Xenopus tropicalis: one gene and its partners. The protein of the gene in region 2 purifies or fractionates together with the protein of the main gene of each other region. This does not show direct contact. Links are inferred from orthologs where the notes say so. Each region holds a gene or a part of one and is shown on either strand. Other genes may lie near its edges.

Region 1 (3,498 bases), on a different chromosome or scaffold from region 2:
AGTTTCTGGGCAGTTTCTGACTGAAACCCATTTGATCCCGTTGGTTCCGGCAGGAAGCCCTAAAGAGAGCCCTAGACACGGAGCAGCAGCTTGCGGAGAAGAAGGAGGTGTGTAACGAGACCATGTTGGCCCTCTGGGAGGAGTGCAAGCCCTGCCTGAAACAGACCTGTGTGAGGTTCTACTCCAAAACCTGCCGGAGCGGCTCTGGCCTGGTGGGGCGCCAGGTAAGTCTGACACCTGTCTGTAGTCTGTCCGAATGCGTTGCTATTGGGTGGTACCACCAGGGAACCTTCAACTCACTGTTCTTTCCTGGTCCACCATAAGGGGGTCTATCTTCTCTCCTGGTCCACCATAAGGGGGCCTGTCTTCTCTCCTGCTCCACCATGAGGGAGTCTGTCTTCTCTCCTGGTCCACCATAAGGTGGGCCTGTCTTCTCTCCTGGTCCACCATAAGGTGGGCCTGTCTTCTCTCCTGGTCCACCATAAGGTGGGCCTGTCTTCTTTCCTGATCCATCATAAGTGGTCTTTAGGGTCCTTAGAAGTAAGATGCCCTAATGTTCAGCATGTAGGAAGGCCATAAGACAATAAATGGAGCCCACAGCTCTATTATTGGACAGGAGGACACCCCCCTGTGATTGGGAATAATACCTAGCTAAGAACTTCTTGTAGTGGCCCTCAGGAAGACAAGAAAGCCATGGTGGAGGCAGATAAGTGAGGCCAGCTGGTTGGGTGGAGTAGAGAGCTCACTGGACCACCAGGTATCTCCTGGTAAGGTAAGGAGACCAGAGCCTTGGATGCAAGGGTGCTGCTAGAGGTTGTGTTGTACCATCAGCTGGGGGACCACCCAGGCCTATAACTCGCTCATTCCACATTTCTCTTTCCTGTTGCAGTTTGAGGAATTCCTGAACCAATCTTCTCCATTCTCCATTTTAATCAATGGACAGCAGATCAACTCGCTGACCCAGGAGGGAGAGCAGCAGTCTATGACCCTGGATGACCTTGAGGGGGGCTACAGTCTGGTGGAGGACAGTGTCGATGAGCTCTTCAGGGAAAGCATCAAAGCCTTTGGGCAAATGAAGCCGTTCTTCAGTAATTCCTTCCATAGTGACTTCTTTGGGTCTCAGTGGAACCCATTTCCCTTCCAGCGAGTCGGGTTCCCATTTGCTGAGTCTCGGCGGGCAAGGTCTCCCTCGTTCCACCCCTATTTCTCTGGGGACTTCGAGTCCCTCTTAGAGGCTGCACAGAAAATGATGGAAAGAAGTCACCACTTTGCCCCAAGGCTGGAAGGACTGGGCTCCATAAGGGGTAAGTATTATACTGTGTGCCATCTCCCAGGGTTCCCCAATGTATCACTCATTCCCCCTCTCTGGGTAGGGAACCCCATAACCTGACTGCCCTTACAGTAAGGAACCCCTTCCTATGCTGATAGTGAGATCCCCTTTCCTCCCCACCCCCAATGTATCACTCATTCCCCCTCTCTGGGTAGGGAACCCCATAACCTGACTGCCCTTACAGTAAGGAACCCCTTCCTATGCTGCTGGTGACATCCCCTTTCCTCCCCCCCCCCCAATGTATCACTCATTCCCCCTCTCTTGGTAGGGAACCCCATAACCTGACTGCCCTTACAGTAAGGAACCCCTTCCTATGCTGATGGTGAGATCTCCTTTCCTCCCCACCCCCAATGAATGTTGTTTCCTATGTAGGAAATGGCGATGAATCCGATGACAAACTGGTCTGTAAGGAGTTGCGTCGCAATTCAGCCGGCTGTTTAAAGATGCAGGAAAAGTGTGAGAAATGCAAGGAGATTTTAGCATTAGGTAAGTAGGTTACATTGTAGATAAGTACTGACAAGTACATTCATGAATGCTCTTATTTGTGGAAATGCATTGAGCCCCAGAAATAGATGAACGGACCTGCTGCAATACCGCATTCTGCCAGCAGATGGCCAAGGCCAAGGCATTTATTTTTTGCCAGTGTTGCCCACTATTTCCCTTATAGTATAATTGTAATAATGATGTCATGTGTAGCAGCCTGATGATGTCATGGGCATGGCGGGGGGTCCATACACATCTCTGGGGGCCACACCGGGGCCTTGAGACACTCATTCAAAAACATGTTTCTTAATTTAATGAAATCTATGAAGTTTTTTACTTTCCGTTTGATCACATGGGGCTCATTATCTGGATGTTAGATTGTTCCGGGAAGGATCCGGTGCAGGAGCAGCTGCAGGAGGTGTTTCAGGACTCCCTGCGCCTCGCCGAGAGGTTCACCAGGGAGTACGACGACCTCTTGGAACAGTTCCGGGAGAAGATGCTCAACACCACCGGTATCTTGGAGCAGCTGAACAAGCAGTTTGGGTGGCTTTCCAAATTCACCAACATGACCCAGGGCAGAAAGAATGGGATCTTCCAAGTTTCCACTGTAAGTGGTGCATTGTGTTATTCCTCCAATGGCCGGGGTGTGGTGGCTTCCTGGTACCAAGGACCTTCTGGGCACCTTGGCAAGTTCAACAGAGACATTTTGAATGTGGCTAAAGGTTCTCTCTCAGGGCCACAAAGCCAGAGGTCCTAGAGTTACTTGGGATTTGAGCCCTACTTCCTGTATATCAGGTAACTGTAATGGACCCAATGGGCTCACTGGGCAGAACCATTTTCCTAAATCAAGTGCATCACCACTGAGCAGTTGTGGGCCCAAACTGAGCAATGTTCATTTAATGCCCTGATCTTAATACGTGTAGAAAGTCCCACCATGAGCATTAGGTTGGTGGCTTGATGCCCCTTTGGAGACCTTCAGAAAGCCAACACTGTGTCCCGTCTCTTGCCTTCTGCCCCTTTCCACTCATTCCTTACTTCTCTGTGTTCATTAGATCTATTCCAAGGAAGGGGAGTCTCCTTCCGATACCAAAGTGACCATCAACGTCTTTGACTCTGACCCAAACTGAGCAATGTTCATTTAATGCCCTGATCTTAATACGTGTAGAAAGTCCCACCATGAGCATTAGGTTAAGGGCTTGATGCCCCTTCGGAGACCTTCTACACTATGGCCCGTCTCTTGCCTTCTGCCCCTTTCCACTCATTCCTTACGTCTCTATGTTCATTAGATCTATTCCAAGGAAGGAGAGTCTCCTTCCGACACCAAAGTGACCGTCAACGTCTTCGACTCCGACCCAATAACCTTCGCTTTGCCCGGATACATCTCCATGGATGACCCGAAGTTTGGGGAACTGGTGGCCGAGGAAGCGCTTAAGAGGTTTAAAGCGGAAGCTGTGTAAGTCTTGGCCGATACTTACCTGTAAGCCTGACATGGCAGTGGGCGGCAGTTAGAGGGGCTATTATATCTCAAGGGAAAGTTAAGCAGTAAGGGTCATTGGCCATTGATGAATACTAGCACAGCCAGCCATGTTTTCCATCAGGAAACCAATCAGGGCAGGCAGTTTGCATCCTGGTGGAAATTAAGATGAGAGTAAGTGGGGGTCTCCCATGGGCACCTATACAGTACA
Region 2 (4,222 bases):
CAAAATAAGACAGTGGTGATCAGAACTAAGACCATAAGAATAACTAGGTGTTAAAACACAAATCACAAATGCACAAAATGAAATGGGCTTTTTGTGTGACAGATGCCATGTCTTTTTTGAAGTACAGGAGCAACATACCCCCTTGTTTAACATGAGTTCAATTAGTAGGGCTTGTGCTAGTTGTACTTTTTGCATATTGTTTTAAAAGACACCTCTCCTCCAACAGAAGAATCTTCAGAACAATTCTGTGAATTATTCCTCTGTCGTTGTAGCTTTCTTGAATAACAAAGGGGTTATGTACTGTACCACACACACAATACATTGTGTAAAGTGCAAAAAGGCATTAAGTGTCGCACTCTTGCACATGTAACCTGGGGATTAGAAAATGAGCACTTAAATTAGCTTGGAAGCCTTGCTGTGTTGGAAAAATAGATTGATTCTCTACTGGGTACCATTTGGTTGTAGTTTCCCAAGGGATTTATTTGTTTTCCTGGTTTCTTACTACTATATATATATATATATATATATATATATATATAATATGTAAATAAGGGATGATAATAATAGTACTCCTGTTTTTTAGGAATGAAACTGGTTGCTGATCTTATAGCATTTCATAGCAGTGCATGGATAATGGTCAGAATGAATTATTGTGGATAAGGTTGATAATAAGATGTTATCATTACCAGTAACCAGAATGGGTCTGCAAAATGTAATTATCTAAAGGTTCCACATTCTTTAGTTACAGTTATGAATTGGAGTATTTAGGGCATAATTACATTGTCCTTCCACTGACCAATTCCCTGGGTTGAAAGGAACCATCTACATAATATAGTAAATACTAGAATTCAGTTTTGGTAAGGCTTTGTAATATTTTAGCTGTTTAGTGTTATTCTTCTCTTCTTACTGTCATTAGTAATTGGAGAGAGCGCTTAAATGCTTGCCTGTTACATATCTGCTATCACCTTAGTGACTGCAAGCTTGTTGTAAGAAATATTTATTGTGGCAAGTGCAGATATTTAGCAATAAATAATTCAGCACAGCAGGCATACAGCAGCTGCTAGGGTAAGGTAGCAGATCATTTGCATGTCTGTAGTAGACGATATTACTCTTTTTTGTTGGTGGTGTTTTGTGGGCAGATTTGATTGTTGCTTTCCAGCACCTACATTACAAATGAAGGTGACGGGAACAATAATTTTCCGATGCAAGGCAGACCTCTTAATCTCAAATATTTCTGTTGATAATGGTTCTCATTGTTTGCTCGAGCAGCAGTCGGATTACAAGTGGTCCAGCTTGGGGAGGCTGGCTACGATTATTCAATTTTCACACTGACAAATCAGGCATGTGGAAAGGAAAGACGGGAGGAGGGAGGTGTGGAGGGTGTAGGGGAAGGGAAGAAAAATACGGAGGACATAGGTTGCTCCTACTGAGTAAAAGTATTAATCTCTTATTTTTTACCCCTTCTAAAATTCCTTCTGTTTATGAAGAGCTGATAGGTGTGGTTTCTCTGGTACCTGCTTTGAATGCTTTGATTCCATCAGGTTGTTACATATGCACATACCTCTCAGGGGATTTATTTGGCAGTTATGTACTGAAGAAGAGACTTGATTCCTTTTTTATTGTTTATACACGCACAGATATCATTCCTGTTGGACTAATTTTGGGGAGCAAAGGTTAATGTAAGTATTGCATTTACATCTATATAACATGCCATGTAGGATATTAAGTGTATTTATTCTGCTCACTATGAGCTTTTTTAAATGTTCTATCTGGCATTTTCACCCAGACCTAGTTTAAGCAGCTGACAGTTGCTCACGGGATAGCTTGTCACCTGTGTCCTTAATGCAACGGAGAATGATGCACATGGTTGTTTGTCTTATATAAGGAGAATAGGAAGTATGAAGGTTTCTGTGGGTTAAATGCTCAATTTTATCTTTAATCTTTTTGCCTGTGTGAAGTACGGTATATTGTGTCTGTTTCTCTCCCATTCCCTTTCTCTGACTCTCCCTCAACCACCCCCACACAAACTCTCTCACACATACACAGCACCACTCTTGCATACAAACACACTCAAATATTCATTCTTGCACACACACTCATACATATCTGTATAAAGAGAGACTCTCACAATCACAGACATACATACACTTTGATCTTCATCACCTATCAAACATCTTAAATAATTAGGTACATTTTAACAACAGGGATTATCTTTTTTCCTTAAGAATAAAGTTTTTGTTGGATTAAAAATAATTATTGTAAAGCTTTTTCATCCTGACAACAGCTATTGCATTATTATTTACAATATTTTGGTAAGTTACAGACCTTTGTAAAATACTACCATCATAGACCGACTCGTCCTGTTGAAATACTCTGTTGCATGTTGTAATGTAGTAAAGAAGTATTAGACAAATGGCGTTTCATGTTTCAGAAATCCATTTTTGGCAATATAATACATATATATAGCATATCTTGCTGATTGGACTGATTAAGGATAGACAAGGGTTGCACCGAGAGATTGTTTTTTAAATCCTATACTAATCAGTTACAGATATTTTATTTTGTAGATGCTGTTCAAATGTAATGAGTTACACTATAATCAAATGACCTGTCCTAATGTGTTTGTATGCATTTGTCTTTTGCAGAGCCACTAGAATAAATTTATTAGCTATGGATGTATTCATGAAAGGGCTTTCTAAAGCTAAAGAGGGTGTTGTGGCAGCTGCAGAAAAAACCAAACAGGGAGTGGCAGAAGCAGCAGGAAAGACAAAAGAGGGTGTTCTCTACGTAGGTAGGTAAAAAACTAATCAATATAATGTCATCTGTTCAATTACAATCCTTATCTCCATTTTTCATCACCCTGCAAAAAACACAATAGGATCTATCATTTGTCTTCCGTGTCCTTGGAATACAAATGCAAATACCCTTTAACATTTGTTTATTGTGTAGAAGTTTGTAGCAGTAGTTGTCCATGGCAGAATGGATCTGTAACCCCTGGAGATCACAGAGGATCTCCTTGGTGGTAAATCCCATACATGTCTGTTTTAGAAGCAATAGCCCACTGTACAGTTTTGTAAGCCACAAGACAGACCACTACAGAAACTGTAGGCTTGATAATAGATTGCCCAGTTCTAATCACATTGTAGCCTGTTACACATATTCTTTACATTATGATTTTACAAAGTGTTGTTTCTTTTGAAGGTATATTGCAAATCTAATTTACACAATACAAATAAATAATGACTAAATTTAAATGCTACTCTTTATAATGACAATTAAAAAATTAGGGAGAGGGATAGAAAGAACATAGTTCAATATATTCTACAGATCTGTAAAATAGAAGGGTGAACACATCAATATAGTTCTCCAAGTGCTCAGGCAAAGGAAAGAGGCATAGGAACCAGACCAGAAAGGTCAACTAGGGAAGATTATGGGACACACTGCCCCCTGAAACCTACAAAAGACCTGAGTTGTGGTCCAGTACACTACATTTTAATAATAACACAAAACTAAATGTCCTTAGTTCTCTTGTGTAAACCCTACATGTTCCTATTATGTATATAATTTGGGTACATCTCCCTCACTCAGACAGCATCATTTGTACTGCATATATCCCCAAAGTTCACCAGCACCATATTATTTTCCTAAAACAGATAGTAGCTTTCACCCACCCGCCATTATTAGTGATGTATTTGCAAACAGCAACTTTATGCTGTAAAATTCATGCAACTGAGACTGCAGGCTTACACAGGCAAAACTTACTTTGATAAACATTTTTGGTTGGTTTGAGCACTCTAATGTTTAATCTGAGCTCAGAAGACATGGCTAGGAGAAAAATAGAAGCAGACAGCTAGAGCAGAGCTTCTATGGGAACCAGCAATGCCATCTCCTAATTGTCTGCTAGACTGGAGAGTCTAGTAATCTGAGTTGAGAAGAACTGAGCATGCCCAGTAGCCAACAGTCAAAGCATATTCCTGAGGAAGGGGGCTGAGTGGGTTACAGAAGAAGAAGGAATCCTAAGTGATTAACGGGATGCTGCAGCCTTACTATTAACCTTTTAACAACAAGAGTGACATGTAGTTAAATATTTCAAAGAGGCTGCTTACTTATTACATGTTTGTGGGGGGTTCACGTGTCCTTTAAAATTAAAATATGTACATAGAATAAAGTTTGCACAGTGCACATATTTATAGTCAAACCTATGAATAGGAGGTGCATATTA
Region 3 (3,567 bases), on a different chromosome or scaffold from region 2:
ATCAGATGTTATTGATTGAAACTGCATAACTGCCAATCATGAGCCAGATACAATTTCTTGAAATAAAAGAAGATTAAACATGTGATAAGTTTTTCATATAAAACCAAATCTGGCCCTAAGTATGGTACCATACCGCAATTATTTCTACTTTCTGAGGAAGGCAAAATGCTGTGGAGCCCATGTTATGTGGAAACAATGCACCAGTGTGACCCTATGTCGCAGACTCTCCCTACAGAAAACTTCAGAGTGTACTGGTAGACCATTTAAGTTATGAAAAGGGATACTTAAATATGTATAAAATTAACAGGTGTACTTATAGAATCTAAAATGGCATTTATAGGTGGAGTTTGCATTTTCTAACAAAGCAATAGAAAAAGTATGCTTTTTATTTACTAAAAAAAATTACAGTTTGTTGAATCCTATTACATTTTTTCATTTTAAATGTGTAAATGATGAAGTTTCTCTGTTTTATTAATATAGACTACACATTTTGGTGGAACTTATTGAAAGACGAGCTTACTGCCGCTTATTTGTGATCTGCTGTAGTGATTATTTTTAGATTAGCACCTACAAACTGATAATTCAATAGACCTTCTGGGAGAGGTCTCACAACCATTGCCTCAGATAGAGTAATGGTAAAACATGTATGGTTTTGCTTGGTCACCATAACTGGATGAATTTTCATGCTTTCTCCCTCTACTCCAGGTAGGATTTTATGGGAGATGCAAAAGAAAGATGTGTCCAGCAAGTGCCAATCTAGAGTAATGGGAATTAATGTTGATTAATTTAATCACCTTTATAAATAACACCTTTATAAATAACAGAAAAAACACGCACATATATCATACTTTACAGCTGTACAAGAGAATTGAGAGAAATACTGAAATATTTTACCTGGTTATGCTGGGTGCATGATAAAGCAGGATGATGTACTGCATAGTAAACAACCATTAAGCATTCTGTTATAAAATGGTTCATAAAACTGTACCCCCAAAAGTCAAGCTTGGGAATATTGAACCTAAATTAAGTGGTAGCAGTCTGCATGCCATGATTAGTTGCACATCGGCCCTATGACTTGAATTTGGTTGATCAATAAACTATGTAGATTGATTGAGTCAAGCATTATAAAATGGAAGAGCTGGTCAAAAATAAAGTACAGCTACACTACTTTTAACCACTTTTATCAACAACATCCAGGCTTTTACTAAAATCTATTGGAGGGTATAATTTGTTCTACATTGTTATTTGCACAGAATCACTGGAATTATCTCATTCCTCTCTGTAAGGGCTTTAAAATTTTACTGTAAAAGAAAGAATTACAGAGGAAATGAGCCAGTACTTACTCAAAGTATTCAGCAGCAGGTGTGACTTTATAAGTATCATTCAAGCCAAATAAGCTGTAGTCACTGAAGTTGCTATATTTTGTCTCAGAACAGTTGGGACTGTTCCATGAATTGTTACAGTGAATCCAAGGTAATTCCGAGGTAAAGGAGGAAAATAGATACTGCAGAGCCCATGCAATGATTACATTATAAAAAAAGCCAACATATAAAGATATCAAAATGACCGTATATCCAACCCCTATAAATAAACAGAGAAAGAGTTAGTTTAGGTGAATTATTAGATACGCAACAAAATTTTTTATCATAAGACTATATAACATGCTATCATAAGGCTATATGGATAATGTATTATTTCTACTGCATTTATAATGTGCACATCTTCCATTCTCCAGACAGTATAAGTATAGGCCCCTGTTGAGCATGAGAGTGTTCTTAAATGCAGTATGCACCTTTGAGGGTGTATTTGAATGCAGGGTACCCAGAGAATATTATAATTGCAAACAAAACATCTGTCTTTATGGAGCCTTGGATACTAAGTACATTTTCATAATTTTTATTGTGTAAACATTGTAATAATGGATCACTTCTCAGCTTTAATAAAGGCTTTCTTCCCTACCATTTTAACAGCTTTGTCCCCGGGCAAGTTTTCTGCATATTTGTCAGACAGGCAGCAGCTGAAGACTTTAAAGAAAGTTGTTTTTTTGTCTCTGCCTTTCATGCAGATCTCTTAGCTCATGTTAAATTAAGGTAGTGACTAAATGTTGAACTATGGTGCCACAACTTTCATCAGCACTACAGCCAATTACCTACCACCAATATATTATAATTTGAAAACAGGGAGCAAGCAAGATTTTACTGTACACACTTATCTTCACTTTCATATTGGTGCACTGCATAGAGGAATGAAATAGCTCAAAGCAGAGCTGGGTTGGAACAAGGCAGAGGCAGAAGAGAAGACGGAATTAAGCAGATCCCAGCAAACAGAAGAGAGGAAGGCAGTAATCGCAGTTATCAGCACACAATACTAGAATAGGGACTGTTCCTAGATACAAGCTATTAAACCCCAGCTGTGTGTACTGTGGGGTGGTGAATGCAGCAATCTGTTAACAGGTGCAAAAAGGCTGATTCATAACAATAGTGTTTAGGGAAGACTGGCCGTTTTCTTCCACTTTGCTTAGATATGGGGGAAACAGGCTAATTTATTACAGGGGGATGCAGGGAGTCAAGCTGAAATTTCAGGAGAGTGTGCTTATGTATTGCAAAGGGGTCTGAAAGAGACTGTGATGCTTTATAAAATTATTATAGACGATCTGTTACAGGGGAATGAGCCACTGCTGTCCTGTTACTGGGAGGCTATGCAATTTTATTCATGAGGATAAATGTGCTGTAGTGTTTCTTTATTTGCACTTAGCACCCTATTCTGCACTTAATAACTGTATTATGCATGGAGACTGCATATATCATAGTATGGTAGAAATGCAATCTGAGGTATTTGTACTGTATTTTACTTCCTAAGTTTCCTTATTGCTTTCATGTTTTATTTGTCTATTTGTGTACATTGTTATGGATTAGTTTAAGGTGAAACACATCAATGTCTCTGGTTAAAATAAATCTTTCCTAGCTTGGGGAAGATAATGATATTCGCCACCACAAATAAGCAGCAGGTTCCACTTTAACATGTTGCTATTACTTTTTAATCAACAGAAGCAGCGCAACTTAGCTATTCCACCATATATTTCTGAAGCAGAACACAAGGACCCACAGAGTAACACAATTTATTCAAATTGTATACATTTTCCAATACAACTTGCTGTATGGCAGTTTCATCTAAGTAATAAGTAATAAATGCAGATCATAAAGAAAAAATGGATGAGAAAATAAAAGACTGGACAGCTTGGGATGGCTACAATTAAAATGAATTCATATTTAAGAGGAAAGATGAAGCAATTGCCTATTTTCTTCTACTGCACAAAAACATGTCTGAAAGATATTTTTCCAAAGCGATTGCATTACGCTTGTCTTGGTTACAACTTGTAGTCTATGTAAACAACAATAATATTTGTGAATGCCTGTAACTAAAGTTGATGTTTTGTATGGCTATTTAAAATGCTTTAGTCCTTTGAGTCCTGGACTTGGGCAATAACAAGAATATTGGTTTATGTTAGAAAAGTCTAGCAATGACCTACATGTTCAAATCAAAAAGGCAAGCAGGCAGACCCTAATT
Region 4 (4,277 bases), on a different chromosome or scaffold from region 2:
AAGTCCGAAAGCCTAGGGAGTTTTATGAGAGGGGTCCTTTAGCAAAAAGCCAATAGAAATACAAAGTAAAAAGGCACTCCCATCTTTGCTACAGAGCAGCCTGACCTGAAAACATCTATTAATACAGTACCTAAAACAATGGTGCCTCTTTTACAATTAGCACTGTTAACCCATTGGTTTCTTGCTCACCTGTTCACTTGTCGATCAGTAATGTATTGTGATACAATTACGAAAAGCACAGATTTGCTTTCCTAGATTATCCTAAAAGCAAAACTTCTGTTTAAATTACATAAAAATGTATTCTGTACACCTAACGTTTGTATGAGTTCATCCAGCGCGTTCTATTATAAGGTTCATTCTATAGCCCTATAGAGAGCCATGAATGCCCACTGTATCATATACAGCTTATCAGTTATCTGCTATGTAAAGGTGTGTCCTATAGCCCCATGAGAACTTGGATTGTTGCTCCCATGGCTACACAGCAACTTATTTTACCATAGTAGCACTTGTCAAGCAAACTCAATTTTCTCATGCAGAGTAAACATGCCCAAACTCAGTTGGGGAGTCTGGACTATTGCCTGAATGCCTATCCTGTCAATCAAAGACTTTACCAATAAAGTGATGTGGGCCCAGTCCCAATGGGTCTGCATAGACTTTACAGACCAAAGGGCCCCTGAGAATGCAGAGAAGCTAGGTCCCTTAATGCAATACTGAGTGGAAAACTTGTTAAACTAAAACTCTCCAACCTCCCTAAGGTGTCAAAGGCTCATGTTAATACAATGTATGTAGTATCAACATGTCTTTCCCTTAGAGATCCCATTAGGACTGGGGGCCCAGATGGCGGCAGGGCTTGAGCTAAGTGGGTGTGTGAGTGGGTACAAGCGCCTCTCATATTATAAAGCTACTCACACAATGACAGGAATGATATTAGTACCGGGAATGTGTGCGTTAAACGTGGGTGAGTGAGGCCGGGTCCCTACCGTCAGATAGCCAGTCTCTCTCTCAGCCTACTCCCACAGATAGCGCACAATAGCATGGAATTGCCTTCTGGGTCAGGAACAAGATGCGCCTGCAGTCGCCGCTATTATTCCCTTTCTCTCACACTCACAGAACAGACAGAAGGTGACGCCATGGGTCATGTGACCGAGCTGTGCCTGTGGGACGCGCTGAGGCAGGAAATGGTGTGTCGGGACTACGACTCCCAGCATTCCAGCAAAGCTTGAAACCTGTCGAGCACCACTGTAACCGCAATGTGAAAGTTCAAGCTATGAAGCCGGAAAAAATACAATGTACAGTTAGAGCCCCCGTTGCGCATTTAATTGAATTAAGCAGAGTTTGACACAAGAGGCTTTCCGTCAGTTGATGCAGGGGGTGGGGCTGTACGTGAGATATTGGTGCGCTCTGGCCCTGGAGGCGGAGTTTGTGAGCTAGCGGAGAAAGAGAGTATGGCTGGCAAGAGGGCTCTATTGATTTTGGCCAAGGGGGCCGAGGAGATGGAGACAGTCATTCCCGCTGATGTGATGAGAAGGGCAGGAGTGAGTAATACATGGCTGCTAGCTGCTTGCGAGACCGTATGGCTGTGCAGCTTGCTGGGCATGGAGGGGTGGTTACACTGAGCTCTGAAGGTGTGGTGCGCTGGCACTGTAACTATTGGCTGGATACGGATTTCTAACATCAGGAAGTTCTAGTTCAGTAGCCGCCGCAGGTTGCCATTAGTTAGTGACTGTGCAACAGGTCCCTCTATCAGTGGCTAAGCACTGCTGCTGAACAGTCACACTGCCTATGTCTGCCTGGAGAAATCCAGCCCTTGCTGTCTGTGGCCTGAGCTGGGAATTAAGCACGTTTGATTCTTTGCCTCATTTGCCCACTCAGTTGTTAGGCGAAATCTGCTGCAGGGATTGCTTGGCCCCAGTGCCAAAATCAGCTCATAATTGGGACCTGTGCTGTCCTACTGGGAGGCACCTTGGCAGTCAGTGCTGGGTCTCAGTCAGTGGGCATGCCTTCCTTTTGGCCCCATACATGGGCTTTAAGATACTTAGTTTGTCTGGATTTAATGACTGCACTTGTCCTGCCAGCTTCTCCTGCCACTGTATGTGATTAACCTGCTGGCACGCAATATAGAAGATATAGAGACCAGAGTCTCTCCCACAAAACAAAGCAGGATCAGTTACCCTTTCTCTGAAAGGTTTGTTAACATTACCCTGTTACCTGGAATGTCTGTATGTGATTTAACACTAAGTGTAAAGATTTAAAATCTAGACCTTTCATGGAATGCAAAATAAGAGAATATATGTACAGAGTAACATAGGTTGAAAAAAAGACACACATCCATCAAGTTCATCCTTTTATGCCTAAATCCTGTCTGTTAGTTGATCCAGAGGAGGGCAATATATCTCTTCTGTTGCAATGACCTGCCCTTTGGGTACTGGTAACTGCAGTTTAGGTAAAAAGGAATGATTACAGAGACCTCTAGTGGTAACAAACCACTGTGCAACTTGTGTGTAATGTAACTTTGTGACCTGTGGTGTTTTTATTATCACCTATTAATAAAATACCAACATATTCCACAGTGTTGTACAACAAATGGGTATATCCATTAAATAAACAAGAAAATATACAATTACAACCAACAACCTATACAATACTTAAAGAAGACCCTGTCCAGAAAAACTTTCAACTTTCAAAAAGGGGTAATTTACTATGACCCGGGCACAAAGGGATGCAAATGGCAGAAACCCTGGCAGCACTACCTTCTAAAATAACTACAAGCTCGTGGACATTGCCTCCAGCAATCATATGCTCAAGAAGTCAGTCCATTGGGCAAATTTTAGACACAAATTGCAGTGTGTTGTTTATTAACATTGCAGCTGATTGGCTGTAAGGTGAGCTGTAGAGTAGGCATTCTTCACATTTTTTGATGTGTTGACAATTTAGAGATCAGTGCCATTTACTGCATTTGTGTACAGACTCCACAATATTCAGAATTCCTGTATTATTGTGGGCACATAATAGTATCAAAAGAAAAAGAGAGGAGCGTGCTCCCATAGGATAATATCAATGGTATAATTTTTTAATTTAAATATATTGCACGTAAATAAATAGCAGCAGTATCAACATCTCAACAGCAAAGTCCATATAAGCCTATAGTGTACAGACTTCCTTTGTGCCCCTGAGGAAGTCTTTTTATCAGAACAACACTTCGTAATAGTGTCTGATTCAACTTATATACTAAATATTGATGGAAAATAGTATGTGTTTTGGTAAACTGCACCTAAGTTACTATGTACAGTTGGCATCACTTCCAGGTCTTCAAATTCACATGCCATCAATAGTGGCTTTCCTGTCTGATATACTTGGTGTAAGTCAATTGAATCTGTGGGCACAAACCACTAATGGAAACCTGGAGCTACTGGCAGGTCAAGGCTCTCTTAATCCCATGGATCCCTTGTGTCAATGCACACAGTTGCATGCAATTCATGAGAGCAGGTCGAATGTTGCATGTTTTGTTAAGAAAAGTTTATTTACAGTTGCCATTTTTCCATTTACCAGATAAAGGTAACGATTGCAGGTCTAAGTGGAAAGGATCCGGTTCTGTGCAGCAGAGATGTGGTGCTGTGCCCTGACACTAGTCTGGAGGAGGCTCGAACACAGGTAAGGTATACGTTCATTATTCATAGGTGTGTTGGGCAAACACTCCTACTTTGGCTTACTGTACTGTGTTTTCTCTCGTGAAGGATAACCACATGCCTTCATTTTGCCTAAAAAAACTAAAATTAACTTTTTTTTTTTCTATAACATTTCTGACTGTGAAAGGCACATACATTATCCACTTGCAATATGATTTGGGGTAACCGGATTCTCTGTATAAATAGGCCATTGGGATTTTTGTGTCTAATCATGTGTGGATCTTGTGATATAAGAGTGTGTAGTGTGTTGATCAAATGCTTGTAGCTTGTTAGTTTTTATTTGCATGTATGAAGAATAATTCTAGCTAATATAGCTAGTGGAATACATATGTTCATTCTAGCAGCAATTCTTTACCGCTATAATCTCACTTTCAGCACAGGCAGGCATGGGCTGGGTGCTTTGCCGGCCAGAGCTGCTTTTTAGTGCCAGTCCAGCTCAGCCCTGCTTGGCTGCTTAACTGACAGTTTGAAGGTCAAAGTCTATTTCAGTACATGACACTTTAAAAACTCACCCACCTGCTAGATGTAAAGCCTCTTCATTTATGATCTTAGATATTACTTTCAGAGAATGCAGAAGATCTTTCAGGAACA

The links.
Region 1: the proteins of snca (region 2) and clu purify together in Homo sapiens (affinity purification with western blotting; 3 studies listed by BioGRID and IntAct, with this or other methods). This does not show direct contact. The link is inferred for Xenopus tropicalis from reciprocal best matches to the Homo sapiens genes SNCA and CLU.
Region 3: the proteins of snca (region 2) and slc6a3 purify together in Homo sapiens (affinity purification with western blotting; 6 studies listed by BioGRID and IntAct, with this or other methods). This does not show direct contact. The link is inferred for Xenopus tropicalis from reciprocal best matches to the Homo sapiens genes SNCA and SLC6A3.
Region 4: the proteins of snca (region 2) and park7 purify together in Homo sapiens (affinity purification with western blotting; 3 studies listed by BioGRID and IntAct, with this or other methods). This does not show direct contact. The link is inferred for Xenopus tropicalis from reciprocal best matches to the Homo sapiens genes SNCA and PARK7.

The regions. Positions count from the first base shown.
Region 1 is NC_030681.2:159,885,937-159,889,434, reverse strand, and holds the end of clu (clusterin), read left to right. Parts: intron 1-53; coding exon 54-224; intron 225-889; coding exon 890-1,304; intron 1,305-1,702; coding exon 1,703-1,816; intron 1,817-2,190; coding exon 2,191-2,420; intron 2,421-2,865; coding exon 2,866-2,940; 3' UTR 2,941-2,957; downstream 2,958-3,498.
Region 2 is NC_030677.2:78,431,476-78,435,697, forward strand, and holds the start of snca (alpha-synuclein), read left to right. Parts: upstream 1-1,395; 5' UTR 1,396-1,679; intron 1,680-2,081; exon of another isoform or gene 2,082-2,187; intron 2,188-2,227; exon of another isoform or gene 2,228-2,312; intron 2,313-2,645; 5' UTR 2,646-2,670; coding exon 2,671-2,791; intron 2,792-4,222. UniProt on the Homo sapiens protein: Neuronal protein that plays several roles in synaptic activity such as regulation of synaptic vesicle trafficking and subsequent neurotransmitter release.
Region 3 is NC_030682.2:78,463,883-78,467,449, reverse strand, and holds part of slc6a3 (sodium-dependent dopamine transporter), read right to left. Parts: intron 1,582-3,567; coding exon 1,344-1,581; intron 1-1,343. UniProt on the Homo sapiens protein: Mediates sodium- and chloride-dependent transport of dopamine. Also mediates sodium- and chloride-dependent transport of norepinephrine (also known as noradrenaline). Regulator of light-dependent retinal hyaloid vessel regression, downstream of OPN5 signaling.
Region 4 is NC_030683.2:96,565,159-96,569,435, reverse strand, and holds the start of park7 (protein deglycase DJ-1), read left to right. Parts: upstream 1-1,435; 5' UTR 1,436-1,445; coding exon 1,446-1,535; intron 1,536-3,549; coding exon 3,550-3,651; intron 3,652-4,277. UniProt on the Homo sapiens protein: Multifunctional protein with controversial molecular function which plays an important role in cell protection against oxidative stress and cell death acting as oxidative stress sensor and redox-sensitive chaperone and protease.